Linked DNA regions of Lepisosteus oculatus. The protein of the gene in region 2 binds, or shares a complex with, the protein of the main gene of each other region. Links are inferred from orthologs where the notes say so. Each region holds a gene or a part of one and is shown on either strand. Other genes may lie near its edges.

What was found.
Region 1: phldb2b (region 2) and ppfibp1b share a complex: the UniProt entries of both Homo sapiens proteins name them as parts of the cortical microtubule stabilization complex. The link is inferred for Lepisosteus oculatus from reciprocal best matches to the Homo sapiens genes PHLDB2 and PPFIBP1.

The regions. Positions count from the first base shown.
Region 1 is NC_090702.1:53,712,766-53,723,417, reverse strand, and holds the start of ppfibp1b (liprin-beta-1b), read left to right. Parts: upstream 1-6,533; 5' UTR 6,534-6,694; intron 6,695-10,652. UniProt on the Homo sapiens protein: May regulate the disassembly of focal adhesions. Did not bind receptor-like tyrosine phosphatases type 2A.
Region 2 is NC_090700.1:5,140,096-5,151,122, forward strand, and holds the start of phldb2b (pleckstrin homology-like domain family B member 2), read left to right. Parts: upstream 1-6,044; 5' UTR 6,045-6,557; exon of another isoform or gene 6,558-6,905; 5' UTR 6,906-7,250; coding exon 7,251-7,283; intron 7,284-7,678; exon of another isoform or gene 7,679-7,881; coding exon of another isoform or gene 7,882-7,884; intron 7,885-11,027. UniProt on the Homo sapiens protein: Seems to be involved in the assembly of the postsynaptic apparatus. May play a role in acetyl-choline receptor (AChR) aggregation in the postsynaptic membrane.

The DNA.
Region 1 (10,652 bases), on a different chromosome or scaffold from region 2:
CAATAGTCTCTTGCTCAGGTTCGATTCTTTGAACAAAACTATGAAGAGAGGTTTGATGGAACACTCAATTAACTACAGTAGGTGCTGGAAAGATTTATTTACCAAAATAAACTTACTTTGTAACAAATTACAGAAGATAATTAGAAAATGTCAAGACAATTTTAAGTTACTTAGCTACTGTTGAGTTACTAAAGGAGGGTTGAGGGAATCTGGGACAAGCTGTCTAGCCATACTTTTGTACTGTAGTTGACACCCTGTTTTCTTTCACAAAACAGCTGAGATCCTGGGATTAATTAGCTGGTAAAATCCAGGTGAAATAGACGCCCAAAGTTCTTCCTTTCCTTTGTAAGCTTTCAGAATGTACACCCTCCTGTCTCTCATGTTCTGATCATCTTAAAGTGATCATGCTTATATCAGAATTAGCTTGCTGAATTATTCTGGGCTTCCAATGAATAACCATATAATATCACCCAGTGATCCTCAGTATTGGCATTAACATCAAAAAGATGATGTGCCATTGGCATAACAATTTCATGAGTACAGTTCAGCGCAGTGTTGATCATAATAAGATGAGACTCTGGCCTGTGGGCACGCGTTGTTATTGTGGTTGTTGCCGTGGGTGAAGATGGTTGCCACCTTAAAGTGCTCATTGTAACTAAATGACATAATGGCCTTAGAGCCTCGTGTGAGTGCATCTTGTACGTCAAACTGACGTCTGTACCAGGATGTCATTTATTTAATAATAATAGAGTTTAATATGTTTTTGTTTGGCTTCTACCAAAGCTGCTTTGATATCTATTTTGATATACATTGCCTCTGTCTTGCCCTAGCTGCAGTTTGGCAGACCATCACATTGACATGGGCTTTCATTTTATTAATTTGTGTGCTCTGTGAAGCATAAAACCTTCATGCTCCTGAATGTAGGGAAGTGACAAGCCTGCCACCAAGACATTCATCCATTTCCTATTGAGAGTCAGAGCCACCCAGAGCCTATCCTGGTAGCACAATGTGCCTGACAGGACTGGATGCTGGATGGGACAATATACAATCTGGACATTGAAATAAATGGCAGCATGTCTTTTGAAGGCATGACACCACTGGAGGACTCATAGAAAAACATGTGACCACAGAAGAAATGTGCAAGATCTACAAAGAACGTGTTGCAGACTGGAATCAAACCCAGTACCCAAGTGCTGTGACATACAGTAGTAGAACTGGGCTTAATTCTGGACCGAGGGTGCTGTCTGTGTGGAGTTTGTATGTAATCCCTGGGTTCACATGCTCCCACAGTCCAAATGCATACAGGTGGGTGTTGTTCCCGGTGTGAGTGTGCGTGTATCTGCCCTGTGAAGGACTGGTGTCCCACCCAGGGTGTTCCCTGCCTTGCACGTGTTGCTTGCTGGGATAGGCTCCAGCTCCCCCCTGACCCTGATTTGGAAGAAGCACTTGGAAGATGGATGGATTGTTGAATTTAAAATAGGTGTTAATATTTAGTCCAGTTCAAAAATAAGCTCAGATGTATGGCACCAGACTCAGTCATGTGCTGTGGCCTTCAAAATAACATGGAAGTTTCTGTTATTCCTCCTCTTATTTATAAACCATGTCTAAAAATATCTCCTGAGAAATGTCTCTGTTTCAAAGTTAGCCAAAGATTTAAAAGAGAAAATTAGGAGTTCTAAATTGTTCTGATTTATTGGACGGCATGCCCAAGGCAGATTTTGTTTTACAGGATATTGCTGTTGAGACAAACAAAGCCATCATAAAGACACTTCCTGAACCTGCTATCAGATAGGCCAGGCAGTAGCTGATATTTCAGAGGAAGAAACAAATATAAGTATGAGCATAAAATCCTGTCTTGTGTTGTGTTTCCTACTGTCATTTAGATACTGTTCAAGAAATGTCAACCTGAGATCTGAATTATATTCTGAACAAAGGACTATGAAATTATCTAACCAATTCAATCCAAGCAAATTTTAACTGTTTTGAATCAAACAACATTTTTAAAAATACACACTTATTTGTTACTTTTACATGTATCGACTGTTCACTTATACAGTATATTGGAAGTTAAAAAACTGCAGTGAATTGACCACTTCAGGAAACTTAGTGTTGTGAGGCTGTATAAACTAGCAGTAGATTATATTCAGATTATTGTGATAATAAATTAAGACGTGAATAAATTGAGTTTTCTGATTTATGATTTGTTTTGGAATTTAATCATTAATTCGGTTTATTCATTTAATATAATAATCTGTATTTTGTGACAACCTACATATTGTAACGCTTACGGCCGACAGGCACCGTGTAAGAGCCGGCGTACCAGAGCAGGTGACGTCACCGCCCTTCCCTGTGATAGCAGGACTACAGCTACTGAGCTGTAGAGAGATCTCTCTTTGGCTCACCGGGCTGGGTCCCTGTTGAGTGACGCGGGAGTCCCGGGTTTGAGCCCCCGACGGTGCGGGGCCGACCTAATGCGGCAAGGGCGCTCGCCTGAGCCCCCGTTGCGTTACAATATAATTTATGACTCTATTATGAGGCTGTAAATTACCAGCAGGTAGCACAGATCCATGAGTGTTATCACTGCTGTCTCACAGTTCTTGGTTTCTGGGTTTGATTCCAAAGTGTGGAGCAGTGGCTCTGTGGCTGTGACTGGAAGGCTGCAGGTTCAAATCCTGTGGCCAGCAGAAGAATCCTACACTGTTGGACCCCTGAGTGAGGCCCTTAACCCCCTGTGCTCTGACCCCCAGCTTCTCTCTCCCCATCTGTGTGTCTCATGGAGAGCAAGCTGGGGTATGTGAAAAGGAAAATGTATAATGCAAGAAATTGTATACAGCTAATAAAGTGATCTCATTTTATCTTATCTTTTGTATGGAGTTTACTTGTTTTTGCCAGGGCTGGGTGGGCTTTCCCCAAGGCTAGCTGTTGAGGTTAACTGGTGCTTCTCTCACTTGTCCCTGTGTGCCTGTGAGTGTACCCTGAGATGGATAAGCATCAGCTCCCACCTTCTGGAATATACTCTTGATTTCTGTGCAGCTCACTAAGAATAAGTGTCATAACTGATAACAGAATTAATCAGTCAGTACTTAATTTTATTGTTTAATATTAAACTATAAAGAAGATAAAAAAAATTCTTTTTTGCTGATGAATTGCTAATAACAGAGTTCAAACTGGGACAGAAAATGTTTATTGATATAACAACAACAAATGGTTGCTCTTTTACAGGGCTATAATATAATAATAATAATAAACTTTATTTTATATAGTGCCTTTAACGGTGGCTTCTCAAAGCGCTTTACAGGATGACAACAACAATAAATAAGAAGAATACACAAGATAAAACACAATTACAATATAAAGAGGAGACCGTGGATGGTGGTACTAAGAAAAGCAGAGGGGTGAAGAATGATGTATAATCAACACAATACATCTTTATCACTAAAACTTTAAAAAATACGCAGTAAAACCACTATTTTACACACTGGAAAATAGTAACTTATAGGAAGCTATGCATAAATATGAAAAATACAGTACATATGTAGTAAAACAGAACGACAGCAGTGCAAAACAAATTCAGTCATTGAAAACGAGTACAAATGAGTCTTTTTGTGGTAACTTACAGATGCTCAGCTCAAATCCAACATCGTGGGGCACAAGTGTGGCTCAATGAGGCATGATGTCCAGTAAATCAGTTCAAAATAAATAAAGGACTACTGACATCCTGCTGGAATTCTTACTTTTAGCTAAAACTGTGAAGGAGAGCGGTCTGAGGAAGCCGAGCTTCGAGGGCACCCCAGGAAATGGAGAGGGACAGGACCAGGCTGTCTGTGTATTTGCATCTAAGTGAAAGTGGAGGCAAAAAAGACTGAAGAGTCAGGGAATACACTGAGAGTCAACCTGCTGAAGAAAACAGGGGACATGGCGGGTTATGAAGGAGAAAGAAGAAACAGGAGTTAAGTGGGAGAAGACCAGTCAGCAGAGGGGCAAACCAGGGTGACATTCTCGAACAGGACACGAGTAATACAGGGAGCCAGTGTGGTTCAGGAAGGAAAGGAACTCCACGAGGGAAGCCAGGTTCCAGATGATGGGATTTTACAGATTACCAAGTTACAGTGGAGAGTAGAGAATGTGGCAGAAACAGGGAGGCCCACCAAGGGAGGCTGCAGCTGACCCAGCCAGGCAGAACCAAGCAGAGTCTAACAGGCTGCGAGGAGGGGGTAGAGTCTGCACCTGGGAGCCAGAAGCCACAGGATGAGCAAGTCAGGGAAGAGATGTGCTGAGAGGAGATATCAGGGTGACACCACGGTCCTCCTGCAGAAGTCAGAGGGCTATTTCCTCAAAGTCTTTTTTTTTGCATGGAAACGTGCAATCAAGCTTACACGCAGGAAACAGCCTTGGCTTTTCTTATCAGAAAGAAGGATCATTGGAACAAAAAAAGCATAGATCATTTTCCAGAAAACACTTCCAAATCTGGAGTCTTTAAACAGTCAGTAAATAGTCCTGAGCACAGCCATCTGTTAAAAGCAGATGTTTCACAGTTACAGGGTGTTAATAATATTTCTTTTTCTGTGCCAAAGGATCTTGAAATAGAACAGAACAAGAGGTTTTCTGATGAGGGCAATGACACATGTGGTGTCACTTTGTAATATTTTTAAGTAGGATATCTTGGTATGACTAAAACTGAATAATGATATTTGCAAATAGGATACAATGATTTTACCATACTATTTGCATTTAATACAAATGATGCAATAAACAATAACCTAATTTCTTGGTTGGAGAGTTTGTTTGGCATACCTTAAATTATTTAAATCTTACCTTGTTATGCATCAACACTTTATTCCTCTTGGCGATTTAGTTCTGAGGTCAGGTTGATTATATTTGGTGATCCACAGGGCTCAATTCTGTGCCCTTTGCTATGTAAGATTTATGGTTTGTCCTTGGACAAACAGTAAAATTGAATGGTCTGAGTTATTATTTTAATGTGGATAAAAATGGGTCCAGACTGAACCAGACACAGAGGTATCTGCTTCAGTAATCTGATTTTATTTCTGCTGTAAACTCTTGGGTGACACAAAAGGCTTTGCATCTTAATTGTAATAATATCGAGGTTGAATTATTGGGTTAACACCTAAGCTATAAAGCAAACGAAGCAAACTGAGGGCAATGTGTTTGATATTTGATCCATAATTAAGAACTGAGAGGAGAGGAAGAATTGTACAGAGTTTTGTAATGATACTTTTTTTCAATTTTAGAACTATTCTCAGCCTGCTCTCTGCTGTTTGTATTGGTAGTAATTATTACTAGCTTGGCTGAAACCTTCATCTAAAGCAGCTTTCCATTGCACTCCTTTGCACAGCCCAGTATTTTACTGGAGCAATTCTGAGAAAGTGCCTTGCTTAAGGGTACAACACCAGCACTGCACCTGGGATAGAAACCCGCTACTTAACAGTTACATGTCCAGAAAGCTAATCACTGCTGTAATCACACTCCTCCAAAACTGCATTCAAAAACTCACACCATGTTCAGAATTTGGCTGGTTGAATTCTGTCTAGATCAAGAGCACTTTACCATATCACTCCTGTCCTGGAATCCTCTCACTGACAGGATTCAAATTGCTATTAAAATCATTCTGCTTATGTTCAAGGCTGTGCACGGCCTGGTTTCTAGGTAGCTGATATTGCATCTGTTTATCCCATTCCACACAAATTTTGCCTACGTGATTGTTGTTTGCTGTGTGTTCCCACTGTCTACAGTATATTCTGTGGGTGACAGGGCCTTTTACAGCCCTGGAACACTGCATCGAAAGAAATCAGGGGTAGCCACATGGGGTGCTTCTATATTGTAATTGGCCTTTTTTTTAAGAAATGTGATTGTTTTATTGTCTGTATCTGCTTTGTTTGTTATACATTCTTTAATTTTATTGTAACATGTGATGTTTATGTAATGTATAGAGTGTGAAAATAGATATAAAATAACGTTTTGTTTTGTGATTGGTGTTGTTTTGTATATCGCGGTTGTAGCACAAAAGTTCTATGAATGTAGTGTTATAAAAAAACTATTCTCCTAGAAAGATGTTTAATTGTAATTAACTTTCACACGGAGACAAAAGAAATTCAAGTCAGACCACATCAAGGTTGAATAAATCTATGCCCTTCTTACGGTTCCTTCTCTTCAACATTGACTTAAACGATGTATTTGACACTAAAGAAAAGAGAGAGAAAACACTCACAAGGACTGGAAAGGATATTCTTTTCATTTAGATTTGGTTGGAACACAAACAAAAACGTAAATTAATTTACAGGACCGTCAGGACTGCACTCCTAGGTGAAGCCCCACTCAACTGCAGAACTGAACCCAGACAGCCAAGTCCTAGGTGGGACTCTCCCAAACTTTGGAATGTTGGACACCACGTGGTACAATTTTACTACTCCATTGATTGGGACTCGTATCCAATCTCGGCACTCCTACCGGAGAAGTTGAGCTTCCCAAACCAATCAGATGGGAAACAGGGCGGGTTGTGTGCCGGCGATGACGTCCTCGCCCCGTTAGATCCCAGGTTTCCCGACATGGCGTAAGAGAGGAAGGGATTAGGGACGGCGAAGGGAAAAAAAAGAGTGTTTTCAAGAACGACCGTGAAAGAAAATCTCGCCGCGTAGGATTTGCTTATTCGAGGAGTCTTGTAAGGATTTTGTGGGTGAGTGTGCTGGTTTGACGTCCACTGTCTTCCCAAAGCCTTTCATCCGATGAACTCTGTCTGTCTCTTTATCCGTTTTCCAGTTTTTACAGCTTTTTTTCGGGTCTCATCTGGAGCACTTCAAACGCGAATTCGCTCGAAACTTTTAATTGCGGCGATAGTACTAAATATCTATACCCGTCAGGCGAAGATGAAATCAAACATGTGAACGAAGGTGCTGCAAATCCCCAAACTTCAGTATAAACTAACTTTATTTTTTTAGGTGTAGGGGTAGTCTCTGCCGAATAGCTTTTCACTTAAGGGTTAGTCATTTCTGAAGTTTTCAGCGAAGCTACAAGTCAGATGAAATCTATAATGTCTGTGCCTACACAGTGAGGTTTAATGACCTTTGGTAGTTTTCGTGACAGACTTAATTTGTTTATGCTGTTTTTTTTTAGCTTGAAAGATTGGACCGAAGTTTTTATTTCTGTGGGTGTCGAACCATAACATGCAAACGTTTTTTTTTTTAATTTCATTAAAGGCTACACCTTGTTGGTCTCGCTTTCCAGCGTTTATGAAGTCGCAAATGCGGGAGAATAGACGTCGCCAGGTGTATTTTAAAGTCTAGACCTCTTCTTAAGCAGAAGTGTTGGGTTGCGCACGGACTCTTGGAGGCGGCTATCTGATGAGCGCCGTGCTGTGAGGGTGTTGCACTGCGTGCTGTATTTCCGTATGTTTTAAGCAGGCGTCTGTTAAAGAGAAATGGACCGGGAGAGAAGGAAAATCTGGCGTATTTCTTCTTGTTTTTAACCTGAGCTGCGATATCTCTCTCAGTCGACCCGTTTTTATCCGGTGCGCAATTGACCGTCAAGCCACGGTTTCGCTGGGGTCCTCTGGCCGCCTGGGGCTTTTCAGCTGCTGCGCTCCACGTTATCGGCACCTCCCCAAAGTCTTTAACAAACAGTAACAGTGTGTCTTTCAGTAGCACACGGAATCCAGTGGTCTGCCTCTGCTTATTCATTTTAATAAAGCGTCAGCGTGTTAATTCTCAATTTACGAAGTTTGGGAGAGCATTTTGCAAAGTCAGACTGGAGGGGTTGGAATATGAAACTCGACAGTTGCCTGATGTTGTAGCCGAAATAATGTAATTATCATCTTAGTATACTAGGCACAACACTTCTTAAGCCTTTTTTTTTTACGAGACCTCTGGCAAACCATAGAGGAATTGATGGCAGTATTTAACATTTTAAAAGTATTCCCCCTTCTTATTGGCCACTTCCTAGCAATTTTGTTTTTTGGGTGGTTTCGAAAGACTTCCCCCTAATTTCTTGTGTGTTAAAGGTAACATGGTTCGTTTCAGTTATCGTCATCACTATAACTGTGTATTGGGTGGAAATTACAGTTCCTTCCCAGACCAGACCCGAGACAAACTTGTGAATGTCTCTTACCAGCTGTGCCCTGTTTTTGAACTGTCCCATCACTCTTCTGTGTTTGGTGTGCACTCTGGTCGTGCTTATCATGTGACTGAAAAAACGCTGTTTAAATCGCCGACATGTTTACTGTTTATTACTCTTATTAGCAGAATCCTTTTTCCAACATGAGTTCATTGCCCCGCAACAAACAGTGACCTATAAGTTATTTGCAGTGATAGTATAGATGGTATAAGCAAAAGGTAATCTATAAATATAATGATTCAACATACAGACAAACCAAGATAAGGTTATTTTACTACAGAACAGTCTGAATTAATCTTTGAAATTGGTCCATATAAATATTATTTTATACTTAATGTAACTATACTTATACTTTATGTAATGTAATGGATAATAGTATTGAAGTGTTCTCTTATTGTCTTGCACATGTACAGTCACCACAACTTTATTGTTCCTCAAGAGCTACTACTTCTTTCAATGTCTTGTTGGTGTGAATGTTGGTGGCTATGGTACCATGCAGTAATGCATTTAACTAAAAGGGAAAAAAATAGAAGAGCGTCATTGCAGTTTGTTAGTTTTTATCTTGTTGTCCAATTTATAAGTCCACCAGATAGAACATTTTGAGAGCACGTTCCTGGCTCTATATCTCAAGCAGAGAGCGAGTCTCAGTTCACTTGGAGTACTGTACCCCTTGTAAATCAGAGTACTGATCCTAATCTGAAATCTCTGAATGTGCTGTATTCTGGTATTCGTGTTTCACAGTGTCATAAGCGTTAATGGGAAGTCTTTTAATAAAAAAACAACACATCACAGTCAACGTGTGCTTTCTATTTTAAAATAGGAATGACAAGACCTATTAATGCTGCTGTGTTGCTGGTACAGTATAACCCCTGACATCTCTTCAGTGTTCATGTGTGTCTGGATGCAGTACGTTTCTCTTCCTATATTTAAATCTGCACCTAGAAAGCTGTTTTTGTGATTCAGGTTCATTTCAGGTGGCAGCCTTCCAGTGTGACATTTACAGTACAATTTATGGATTTAAGATGAGGTTTTTAAGTTTCTGTTTTTGTCTCCAAACTAATCTTTCTGGCTGTCTCGGTTGCAAACGGCTAGAGATAGCCAAACACGTGGGTAAAACATACATTATAGACCTATCCTCAGAGCTGAGGCTGCAGAGAACTTGGGAATGTTTTCTTTTCCGATGCTCCAGCATGTGTTGTGTGTTTGTGCCATGATAGCTCAGATTTCCTGAGAGTGCAGCGCACGTTGACACTGACCATTTTTTGGAACAAGTTCGCTGTCCGCCGTCTTGAAAGGATTGCAGATCACCCAAGGCTAATGATCTGATTTGTTTTTATCTTGGAAGGACTGAGCTAAGTAGAAGAAACATCTCTATTGTGAGGTATTTGAAGTACCTGTAGGACAAAATGTTTTATATATCATGTGCACAACAATCTCTATTTAAGAGATTTCCAGTACTACGTGATTTAATGATTGCAAGTCTGCGTTTCCAGCCTGTCACCGATCCAGTCTTTTAATTTTAAAAATTTTGTATTTGGTAATAGTATATTCCAGATACAGAAGAGAAGAATCTGCAGGCATTCCATTAAACCTCCCCTAGTTTAACTGTTCTCGCGTTTCTGATGTCGCACTCTGCCCAGCAAGTTGTTTGTGGCTCTTTTTGACAAATTCATACCCGCTGAACCATTTGTAATAAATGTCAGATTTGTTTGTAGGCTGATGGTAAAGCTGAAAATATTTAAAGAAGAGCTTCCCAAACCTAGTCTGTGTGTCATTTTAGCATTTATCCCAGATGATGTCTTCGCTAACTAATTATACTTATTTTGAGTAATAAAATATTTACGTAGCTCAGCATCTTCAAAAGTGGTCTATATGTGACATACAACACAACAGTCATTCTTTGAGAATTCTCCACTGGATCAAGCACAGAGAGTCCCATGGGTTGGGTAGGAATAAAGCAGTCTAGGACAGTTTATGAAAGGAAGCTTTTCTTCAGACATGACTATGGTTTAAGAATCACTGTTTCCAGAGACTGTTTTTATCGGATGAGTAAGATTTAAAAAAAAAAACATTCATCACACAATGAAAATGTACAAGATACCCTATACTTATATTCTTAAGTGAGTCAGTTTTTCTATTGATCGTGGTGAATCGTATATTGGTATCTGAAATCTATAGCGTGTATGCTGTGTAAAACATCATAACTGTTCAGAAACCCTCATCAGAGCACTGTGTCCAATCTAGATATTTCCCCAGTGAGGCCTGCCACTGTATGCTTATCTTTCACTGTTTCTTTATTTTACAAGGTCAATCGCTTGAGCACAGTCTCCTGTGCAGTGAGGACCTTGAGACTCACTCACACTGCAGGGCACTTACAGGAGCTGTTTGAGTGGCATACTTGGCTCAAGGATGCAACAGCAGAGCCCTAACCTGCCCATCTCCTGTCCAGATTCCTAATCACTACTCTGCACTGCTGCCTGAACTTTCAGGATGTTTTATTATACAGTCGCAGATTCTTCCACTGC
Region 2 (11,027 bases):
TCAATGTGCTGCTGCAGGGCTCTCAGACCGAACTGACACCAGCCACCCCATGCCTTTACACACAATCCTCAGTAAAGCATAGCATAGATGTAGGGTATTTATCAAGAATTTCACGTTATGATTAAGGTAAAAAAAGCAAATGTGCATTATTTTCCACAGGGTATGGTTGAAACAGTGAAAAGGCAAGCTGGTAGATTGTAAAAATGACACTAATCTCTAATTCCTCTGATACTGCGTATGCTCCCATTAAAACCAGGATTTAAGCTTCTGCCTTACTTTAAAGATGCTGTATTGGTCTCTGGCATTTTTTAAATCCTTACTGTACCATAAAAAATATGCTTGCCTTGGCAGGAGCAATTATAGGCAGATGCACTGTTTGTCTCTTAAATAGGACTTGACAATTCGGAGACTGGCAATAATGACCTGAGAACTGAAGGGCTGGTTTCTTATTGTTTGGTGAACCACTGAAGGGTCAGAAGTGTGACAGATGTTGAAAAATGGACCCTGGAAATTTAGCCACAAGCCACATTGGCAGCCCAGCTCTGGACCGTGCAATGGGGCAATTTGGAGTTTCTCAATTTGGATTCCTAATCGGGCCGCCAACCGCAGTCTCCTCCTGGCAGTGTGCTGTATCCAGAAAGTGGCCTTCTGAGCCCAAAACTCTACAACTGCTGCTGTTTTTATGCCATTAGGATATTCAACGCTGACTGCTGGGAGGAGTCCAGAAAGGGAGAGATCTGAGGGGACAGAGTGTTCAAAATCCTCAAAGCCACTGAGAAAGTGAACCCAGGGGACCTCTTCAGGATCAGCGGTGAAATACCAACCAGGGGGCACAAGTGGAAACTCGGGAGAAGCACATTTAAAACAGAGCAGAAGGCGCTCTTACACAAAGCTTCACGGGAGCGTGGGACAAGCTACCCAGCCATGTTCCTGAAGTTAACGCCCGGGTTTCTTTCAAGAAAGAGCTGGACGGAACCTGGGATCAACTAGCTACTAATTACCAAACAAACTGGAGAGGATTAATGGCCGCCTCTGGTTTGTAACTCTTCTTCTGTTCTCAAGATAGGTAAAGGCACAGAAGGGTACCCACCCTGGTAACCTTTTGGCAACCTTATGCAAGGACAGACCTTCCACTACAGTTTGCCCACGATGTTTTAATTAACACATAAGAGTAGTGTTTTCTAAATAAGGATCTTCTCCCCAGTTCTTTGCTTCAGATCTTCTCTGCCATTGTAGTATTTCGGCCAAGATATTTAGCCAACAGAACTGAGGGCGGCTTGTCTTTGGCGTCTTTAATTAACTGCTGCTCACCTGTATGTGTCTGAACTGCTCGGTTGCCAATAACGTGGACACAGACAAAGCTGGAAATTAGGTTGTGTGACACACTCCAGTAATAAGCATTCCTATTAAACATTAATTATGCATGGGTTTAATTGAGAAGGGAGAGTGTTCTGATAATCAGTTCCTGGTACAGCGTTAATGCCAATTCTAGGTCCAATTACTCTGTTAAATTCTGAAATGGGTTATGAATAGGTCTATCCAAGGAAATACTGTAATCATTGGATAGGTTCAATTAGCCTGAGAATAGGCAGTGGACTGTAGGGACCTACCCTTCATCAGACAGATGATCCCACCTCATCGGCGCACTGGCGTTCCCTGTGTCATCAGCCCCAGGCTCCCAGTCCAGTCCCTTGTGTTCCAGTTTGTTTCACCTTCGATCCCAGTCACGTTTCACCAAGAACAGAGCAACATTCCAAAACTGCTGCTGGTTCACATGCATCACCCTGGAATTTGAGGAGACTTGTTTTTCCCCTTGTGACCTGCTGTTTTAACTTCTACCGACTATCGAATTCAAGACAAATCTATTTTCCAACAACAAACATTTAACTTATTTTTTTCTCACCAGCAGATCCTTCATGTCAACACTATGCAATTTGATATGATTTTATAACCTGTTTTGATGTGAAAAAAATGACTTTTTGATTTAAAAGCAGCATGGTTTATATCTAAAACAGAATATTCAACCAGACAGTACTTCTAATTTCGCCAATTACTTTTTTATTTAATTGCAATTACAATTACATTTTCGAGATGGGAAGTTTGAAACTTCCATATGGAAAAAAAATATTTTATCACATTCCGTGCAGGAAGCAATAGATGCTTTGCTTCCTGTCTGCAGATCCGTAAGTAATATTTGTAAAACAGAAGAAAGAGCTAGGTGATATCATCTATGTCTCTGCACTGCCACAGCTGGTCTTGCCTGAGGCTCTGTTGGCATTTTGCACGCGTAGCGTGGGTGATGGGAAACAGATTCCAGGAGACTTTTTGTTTGTGTTTTTCTTTACCATGTAAGCTGAATCAATCCGGGGAATAGCCTTACTGTGTCTACGAGTTTCAGAGGGAAAACTGCATTCCTGAAAGTGTTTCCCAGATGATATCAGCCGCATGCCCTCGCACAGAGCCATGCATGGACTTGAGGCTGTGACTGTCTGATTGCTCTGTCTGGGTATTTGAATGGAGCCTGATTTTCGCACAGTGGAGCCCTGAGGGTAGAGTCCTCCCCACAGGTGTATCTGATACCCCTACAAGCCTCACGATACCTTGTGATCCATTGGCAACAATGACAGAGTGTCGTTGAAAGAGTAATGTGTCCAGGAGTAGTGTAGATATTCATACAGCTTTACAGCTTATTATTATTGTTGTTGTTTTATTCTCTTTTTGTGTGTGCATTAATCTTTCTTATTAGATGTCAGTGATCGACTCATTCCTAACACTGTGATTCTCAACAGCTATACTGTGATATTTTGAATGCCTGTAACAGCACCAAGGCAAAGACTTTATGACAAAAGACATTCACTCCACTGGAATGTTGGAACAATGTGGCAGCAGAGATGTGTTCAAGAACAAGCTTTATCTTCTCTAGGTTATATTTCATTCCCAGGTTCAGTGTTTTGTTTCGAAAGGCTGCTCAACTCAGGTGCCCAGAGAGAGAGTTTGAATTTATAGCGCAGTGCGGCACTTAAAGGGACATTGAAAGCCATGAATTCTGATCTCATGTGTAAACACAGTGCAAGCTGTTGAATAGGCCACTTGTCAAGATAAGCAGTAATTTGCAAAGTCTTTGTGTAATTGAAAAGCAAACAGTAATGGGAAGATGTTGTCCTGTTATGCACTGCTGGGGGGCTTGATTGCTCTGGACAGGCCCGAAAGTCATCAGGAGGCTGGCAGGGGTGGACTTGTGGGAGAAGGGGGTGAGAAAGATCTGTCTGTGCTTTAGGTGTGTTTGCATTTTTATTAAAAACACACAACTTCTTTAGTAAACCCAAACTGGAAAAGCTACAGCTTATTCCTGAGGCATGCACCAAAGTGTGTTACTGCACATTGACATATGCTAGCTATTCATTGAAAAGACAGCAACTCTTCCGTTGAAGTAGGATGCGTTTTTATATGCTGAATATCCTTGAAAAGCTTTTAAACTGTTACTATTAAAGGGTTGCTCAGCTGACTGTAATGTTGGCAACTTTATGTTGGTAATGTTGTGTGGGAAACTCGTGGCTTTGGGTTCGATAAGCCAGTGGTGTCCATTAGGATACATTCTGCTGATTGTAACCAGAATCCCTGGTAAAATTGTTTGGAATGTTATTCGTCACCATAGCAACACTGTGGAGCTCCAAGGTAATGGATATGTAACTCCATTTCAGAAGAATGCCAGTAGCTATCTTTTAGATGACGTCATTCATCTCTGTATGCAAGATTCATAAAAGACAGTGAATTTGTGAACGACAGTGAAGTAATTGGCTTCATCGTCCAGCTGATACTCTCTTTAGTAAATAAATGTCAGGTATTCAATTTGGAAAACCCATCTTTGCATGTCGTAATGCTGTTTTGGAATGAGAGCACACCACCATTTCCTGTCTTATTCAAATTCATTTATAGTGTCAAAATCCTTTTCAGATCCTTTAGACATGCTGTACAATCAATATAGTGTTTCTGTGATGCACTTTAATTAACTCTTTCATGAGCTGTTATACTAGAGACGGTCATGTAATAGTTGAGAAATGTTTGAAATAAACAAGTTTTGTGAAGTGGCCAAATAAATAATTTCCAACTGACGTGTTTTTTTTTTCTTAAAGGGGAAAGGGTAATATATTGCATTCTTAATTTAACCAGTAAAAATATATTTTTTAATATAACAAACAGTGCTGATGTAGTGATGTGACCACGAACGTTTATAGCCTATTGCTTTGTGATTTATATTTATCTGTCTCCTGCAGTTACAGATTCAGTGTTGGAAACTTTTCCCCCCAGAGTTCACTCCGAGAGGGCTGCCTGAAGATGCAGCAATACGTCTTTGTTCACCAGCAGCAGCTGGATCGGACAGGTTGAGCCGTGGTTTTTGGAGAAGCAGGCCGATGATGACACGCTGGGAGAGTCAGCCCTCTCATGTCCTCTCAGCACAGATTCATTACAAAAGCTGTTCTAATCGTAGTGTACTCTCCCGGTACACTTTTTTGTTTTGTAAATAATCCACAGATAATTCTTTAATTCTATACAATAATACCAACAACTACATGCATTTTTCTAGAGCATTTCACCACGAACATATGGGCAGCACACAGCAGCCACTCTGCATCTGCTGGACAGGTGAGAAACGACCGCACTCAGTGAGTTAAGGAGGACATCTAGGGAGGCTAGATTGATCTGTCTCTGGAGCGCCGGTGTGGGTTCTCTTCAGTCCTGCTCTTGTGAGCCACACCCAGTCATTGGCTAAACCAAGCACCTCGATTTCACATCCCAGCTGGAAGAGGACACCTGCTCCTGCACATCGCTCCAGGTCACCAGACTGGGCCCCGGATGGGAGATTCCGGTCGAGAGGAAAGTGCGCCACCTGCTGGTCGGCCAACACCGCTTGCAGAAGTGACCCTCCCTCCCCCCGAGAAGCCTGCCAGCTCCTCACTGGGGAGGCCCAGCTCTGGAGATCAGCCTGAGGGTGGCAGTGCTGCTGTATGGCATCCTGGCATTTCCCACCTGACCAAAGGAAAAAGCTGAAGGAGAGGTTCCCACACTTTGGGATTGAAAGTTTTCACGGTAGAAGTTTGTATCTTAAAGTCAGCCAGCAGCCATGTCACCCTGCAGCTCAGCAGGTGTGAGCCTGGTCAGTATCTGGATGGGAGACCTCCTGGGAGGAGCTAAGGTTGCTGCTGGAAGAGGTGCTCGTGGGGCCAGGGGGGGGCGCTCTCCCTGCAGTCTGTGTGGGTCCTAATGCCCCAGTATAGTGACGGGGACACCATACTGTAAAAGAGGCCTGTCCTTCGGATGAGACGTAAAACCGAGGTCCTGACTCTCTGTGGTCATTAAAAATCCCAGGGCGTTTCTTGAAAAGAGTAGGGGTGTAACCCCGGCGTCCTGGCCAAATTTCCCATTGGCCCTTACCAAATCATGGCCTCCTAATAATCCCCATCTATGTTGTGGCTTCATCACTCTGCTCTCCTCCCCACTGAGAGCTGGTGTGTGGTGAGCGTTCTGGCGCACTATGGCTGCCGCCACACCATCCAGGTGGGGGTGCACACTGGTGGTGGTGGAGGGGATCCCCATTACCTGTAAAGTGCTTTGAGTGGAGCGTCCAGAAAAGCGCTATATAAGTGTGAGGAATTATTAAAGTCATTTTAAAACAAGTGTAAGGTTGATAGTGTAAGTCTAAAAGTAGACAACACACAGACAGAGAGAGAGAGCAATATTTGGCTAAGGAACAAGTAATAGGTTTATTCCCTGCTGAAAAGAGAAGGAAGAAAACAATACTTTGGCTGTGGAGCCTTCTTCAGGTAAATTGGATAATTGGATATTAAATCCGATAATCATTTGGATAATTCCATCTTGATTTGACTTGTAGATAAGACATTTGAGTTTACAGCAGAGCAAAGAGCTCTGGAGAGACCTCCCTCTGTGTGTGTGTGTGTTTGAGTCCTGCTCCGTTAGTGCCCCCGTCCAGCCCGAACTGCCCCCACTGGAGGTGCTCGCTGCCGTCCTGTATAACCCCACCGCAGGCCGGGGGAAGGAGAGCACAGGTCAGCACGATCACACGGGCTCTCAGCCCGGGCCGCAGCCCAGCTCAGAGGCTTCCTGTTTACTCTGGAGATCCTTCCCCCACCGTGAAACCTGAAGCAGCCCCGAGCCGCTTCGGTCTCCTGCACTGGAATCCACGACATGTGCCGTGGCGATTTCCGCGGCGATAAACACGCCGGCTCCCGCGCTCCGCCACGTCCCAACCCGCTCAGCCTTTCCGCTCCGCAGCTGCGGGTCCGAGCCGGACCGGACCGGGCCGGACCCGACCGCGGCCGCCGCTCACCGTGCCTGGTCTGGACTCGACGCCGGCAAGGTATGCCGACGAATCAGATCGATCGATTCGTTACAGTTGGGCTCAGCTGGAGACCGTCTTCCTAAAGATTGAACGTTTGCCGGAACATCCAGCGTTTTCCGCGATCACTGCGATTTTAAGGATCCTGACGAAGACTGGTCTTTAACCCCCCTCCGGAAAACAAACAAAAATCAAAAGAAAAGTATGTTTCAATAGCACACAGCTTCGCATCTTGGCGCGGTCCCTGGCATCTGCATACATACGGTAGATTCACACAGGAAACACCTCCTGGCCCGTGGAGACTCGCCGCGCGATCTCCGACACACCGCTTTCCGAAGCAGCTCCGGGAGGCGTCAGGTTTCCGAATTTCACACGCCTAGCCTTTTGCGAAGCAACGCGCATTAAAAAAAATCGGGCTGTTTTTGCGACAGTTGAGTGGGGATTGGGAAATATACGCGTCTTTGGGGTTCCAATTTTTTTTTGGGGGGGGGGGGGTCTGATTTCAAAGACTCTGGTCAGCTCTACACCTTGTTGTTGTTGTCCGCTGTAGAAAAGTGGCTCCACGCGCTCCTGGCTGGCCGGCCGGCTGAGCCCCCCCCGGTCTGCAGTCGGCACGCACCCCGAGGTCTCCAGCTGCTGCGCATTCCGGAGCTCGAGGGAGAGCGCGAGGGAGCAGCGCGGGCGGCGCAAGCGGACCGGCACCCGGCGCGCAGGGCTGCCCCCGGGGGCGTAGTGCGATGCCTCAGCGGCGCCGGACATCCCGCATCCCGGACTCCTGCCTGACACGGACAACTTTTCTGCGTGCGTGCGCACTTGCGCATCTGGATTTCTGACTGTTCTGGTCTTTTCCTTCTCCTGCTCGCTCCAAAATCCAAGAGCAACCACAACAGCAAGAATGCCTGACACTGACAGCTCCGTTTCCAAAACGGTAAGTCGCTATATGTTACCCGAGCAGGTCCTCAGAAGAGAATTGCTCTATCGAATTACGAACTGACCCCGTGGAAACGAACGGCTTTAAAAAAAAAAAAAGATTGATACCATAATTTTTAAGTTTGCAGTGGTGCATTTTTGTTGTCTTGTTTTTTGTTGATAGGTTAAAAGTTGAAGAAACGGTTGAAAGGTGTCCTTTATTGGGGTTTTTTTTGCGTGTTATCTAAAACTGGTTATTATGTTGGTGGTATGTCGTTAGGTATTGCATGCCGCTGTAGCCCAGACCAGGTCAGTTAGACGAGCCTCAGCGCGATGAAAGTCTGCTTTGTTGTGTCTGGAGCGCCTGTCACATGCGCCAGAGCGTGCATAATTAGAATTCCTCCGGAGCGCGGCTCAGGGGCGGACAGGGTGTCGGGGCGCTACAGAGCGCTGCAGGTGGGGCACAGGGACTTGGGCTCTACACCCGGCTCTGCTCCCTGTCAGATGTCAGGTGTCCGCGAAGCGCCGATCCACAATCGCCCATCTGTGCGATTCCACCCTCTCCCGAGCCGCAACCCACATTCACTTCACCCATAGCCTCAAGCGGGCATTTTCACATGGTAAGTTTCTGGTCTTCTTGTAAGTAATTATCCTGTCAGTCCACACTCGCGAAATAATTGAGCAGAAGCAAAACGTAATGGATAGCTTACTGCACATTCCTTGGAAGATATGCGAGCAAGCGATATCTCTGTTTCGACGATATCTCTGGCGACTGCGACAGTGCTGAATCTTTTAAAGGACCTATATTCAATTGTGAGGCTTTTTGAGGTGTTGTAAAGGACCTCACTGAAGGTGAAGTTCCTTTGATGGTTCAGGACCTGAGCTGAAACCTTGAATTCCTTCTGCCCTTCATTGCTTATCGTCACTGTGTCCAGCTCTGCTTTTACAAACGTCTCTGCCACCTGCTGTCATGCGTACAGCAGTGCGGTCATTGTTTTTTCAGATCGTTATTTCCAACCTATTAGACTGTTGGCTTTACTAGTGTGGTGGGCCGTAGGCAGATTTTGGGATTGCAGTGCTAAATGTCCTAAACCGGCACTGCTCTTGAATAGAGGACAGTTGTGCTCTAGCTGTTCATTAATATTAATAGATCTCACATCGAGCCTGAAGGCTGCTTGTGTGTGATTCAAGACATACAGCTGGACCCCAGCGGTTTCTGAGTGCAGAAAGACAACACAGGTGAGCTCCTACTGCCTGTATAGGGATTACTGAGTTCCCACAGACAGACTGGACCTCCACCAGATCTTTGGGCATTTGGTTTAAATTTGCTGGAGCTGATGAATACCTCTTCATTCTGTTTTGGCTCTCCATTACGCCACTTGTGATAATAACTTAGAGCGTTACAGCCTGCTTCCAGTTAAGGTGCTTTCAAGCAGAGCCCAAAAAGTAAATGTTAAGGGATCTAACATGCAAGGGAAGTCTTCCCCTGACTTACATGCGGTAGGAAAAGGAAACACTTTGAGGTCAAAGATTATCCAGTGTTAATTGAATTTTTTGAACATTTTCCTTTGAAAAATGAAAATGCAACTACTCTACCACTCTTTTCATTTAAAGAGATGTTCTGCCCTGTGTAAAAATTCCCTGTGAAGCAAAACAAAATCAATACACAGATATGGAACAATTTCAGCTGTTACAATTCACAGTAGTTTTACTTTTTGTAATTCCACATTTAATCAAGTTGTAAGAACATTTACAGGAAAGGTCCTCAAGTGTCTTTTCAGCAGAAACACTCCTGCTCCCTGTTCACTCAATGTGAAAAAAAGTACGTAGAATAAACCTTGGAGGCACTGTCTCTTTCTGCAAGCGTCAGTGCTGTGATGTTTCTCTCTCCAGTTATGTCTATAGGAAAAATATCTTCATTTAGTCTTTGCCCTCCTATGCCGGGAGTGCAGGTTGTGAGCTTACTGTTCTAGCAGTGGAGGAGACTGGGCACTCAATAACGCACAGGAAAAAAAGCTGACAACTTCGGCCTCCTCCCAGTTTCCCCTGCACACAGTGGTACAGATCAGCCATTTCCCAGACCAGCTCCACTCGGACAAAGCTTCATTGTCTCCAGCTGTGAACGTCAACAGGATTCTTACTTTGAATGCACTGCAATGTACGGACTGCATGTGTACCGGGAGGCCTTGCCTTTTAATTCTTTGTAAAGATAAACATTCCCCTCAGTGAAAGAATAAGACATTCCTGATCTCTATGTCAAAATAACTGGGTCTTTCTGATTGTAACATAAAATAAACTAAAAGCACGTTTCTCCAAAATGTCACTGAGGAAAATATTGAGATATTGAAGTTCAAGTCGGTGATGCCCTTTCCCTCATAAATTCACGGTATGCCAGCATATGCATTATAAAGCTGGTAGTGCACAATGAGATCATTGTACAGTAGCAGAGCGTAGCAGAGACACAGAGTAGCTTAGATGTATTAAGTGCCGTGAAAACTTTGAAAGACTGCTGTCACATTCATTATAAAAAGAAGAGAAACAAGTGCTTGTCGTCAGATCAAGTTTGTTTTTTAGCAGCCTGAGGATGAGAGACGTTTTGTCTGAATAACTGTAGCAGCTGGTGAGGAGATGTTAACGCATAGTAGGTGGCCAAGGTTAGAAGAGAACGAGGAGGGTGTTCTGGAGGATGACCTTTTAAATGACCATGAGAAACCTCTGTGGAGCTCCAGCGGCCTCTTGCAGCCAGCCCACAGTTCTGTTCTGGGGTAGGCAGCTTGTCATAAAGTATGAATCGTGTCCAACTGTCCCTTCATCACGCCCTGTCTGTGCTTCAGCTGAAGTCCCTCCCTGACATCCTTCAGCAGCATATGGTATCTGTGGAGGTTGAAATGTGAGAAATTCACTATTCTGCGCACAGCTGGAGCAGCACATACAAGTCTGCCTGCTTCGGTTTTAAACACAGGACAAAGGTTACCGATCTTGCATTGATTCTCTTTGATCTTGTGAAGTGTGTGACCCGTGTTTCCAGTGAAGGCATCAGCTGTTGATCAAATGGCATCCCTCTCTTGTGCAAAGCTAGGGATCTTATAAGTCATCCTGTGAGTTTCTATTAGATACTTTCAGTTATCCAATAGCCATGTCCCGTGCCTGGTGCCTTTGTAGTATCAGCTAATATAAAGGATTGCTATCCACCACCTTCACAGTTCATTGCAATCTTTTGCTTTGGATATACCTTTATAAATACATTTTGTGGAAAAAATCATTTTGCTTATCAAGATGTTAATAGAATGTGTCTCAGATATGTAGCTGACACCTTTGTCCATGTGTGCTGTATAATGATCATGTACAACATATATATTAATTTGGTGCATATGTATTGAACCATCAAAGGAAATGATCAATCTCTCCACCTTTAGACCATGCCTGAGCTGAAGTTCTTTGGTAGAAATACGTAATCTGTGCCTGGTTATTAGATCAATGAAACATGGCCAAGAATTTAGTCAGTCACTATTTTTATATCCCAGGGCAAAATACCTCTGTGTTATTCCATATGCAGCAAAGCTCAACAGGCCTGCTAGATAGCCAGTGTTCTGTGGCCTGTCTGGGACTGAGCTGGAACAAGACATCTCACACAGAGAAAGGTGCTGTGTTATTAACTTCACTCCATCACAGCTGTCTTAAGATAGCTGGATATTGTACTGTGTTTTACTGTATATTCTACAATGGAGGTTCCACTTGAGTATTAGAAGGCCCACCCTGATTG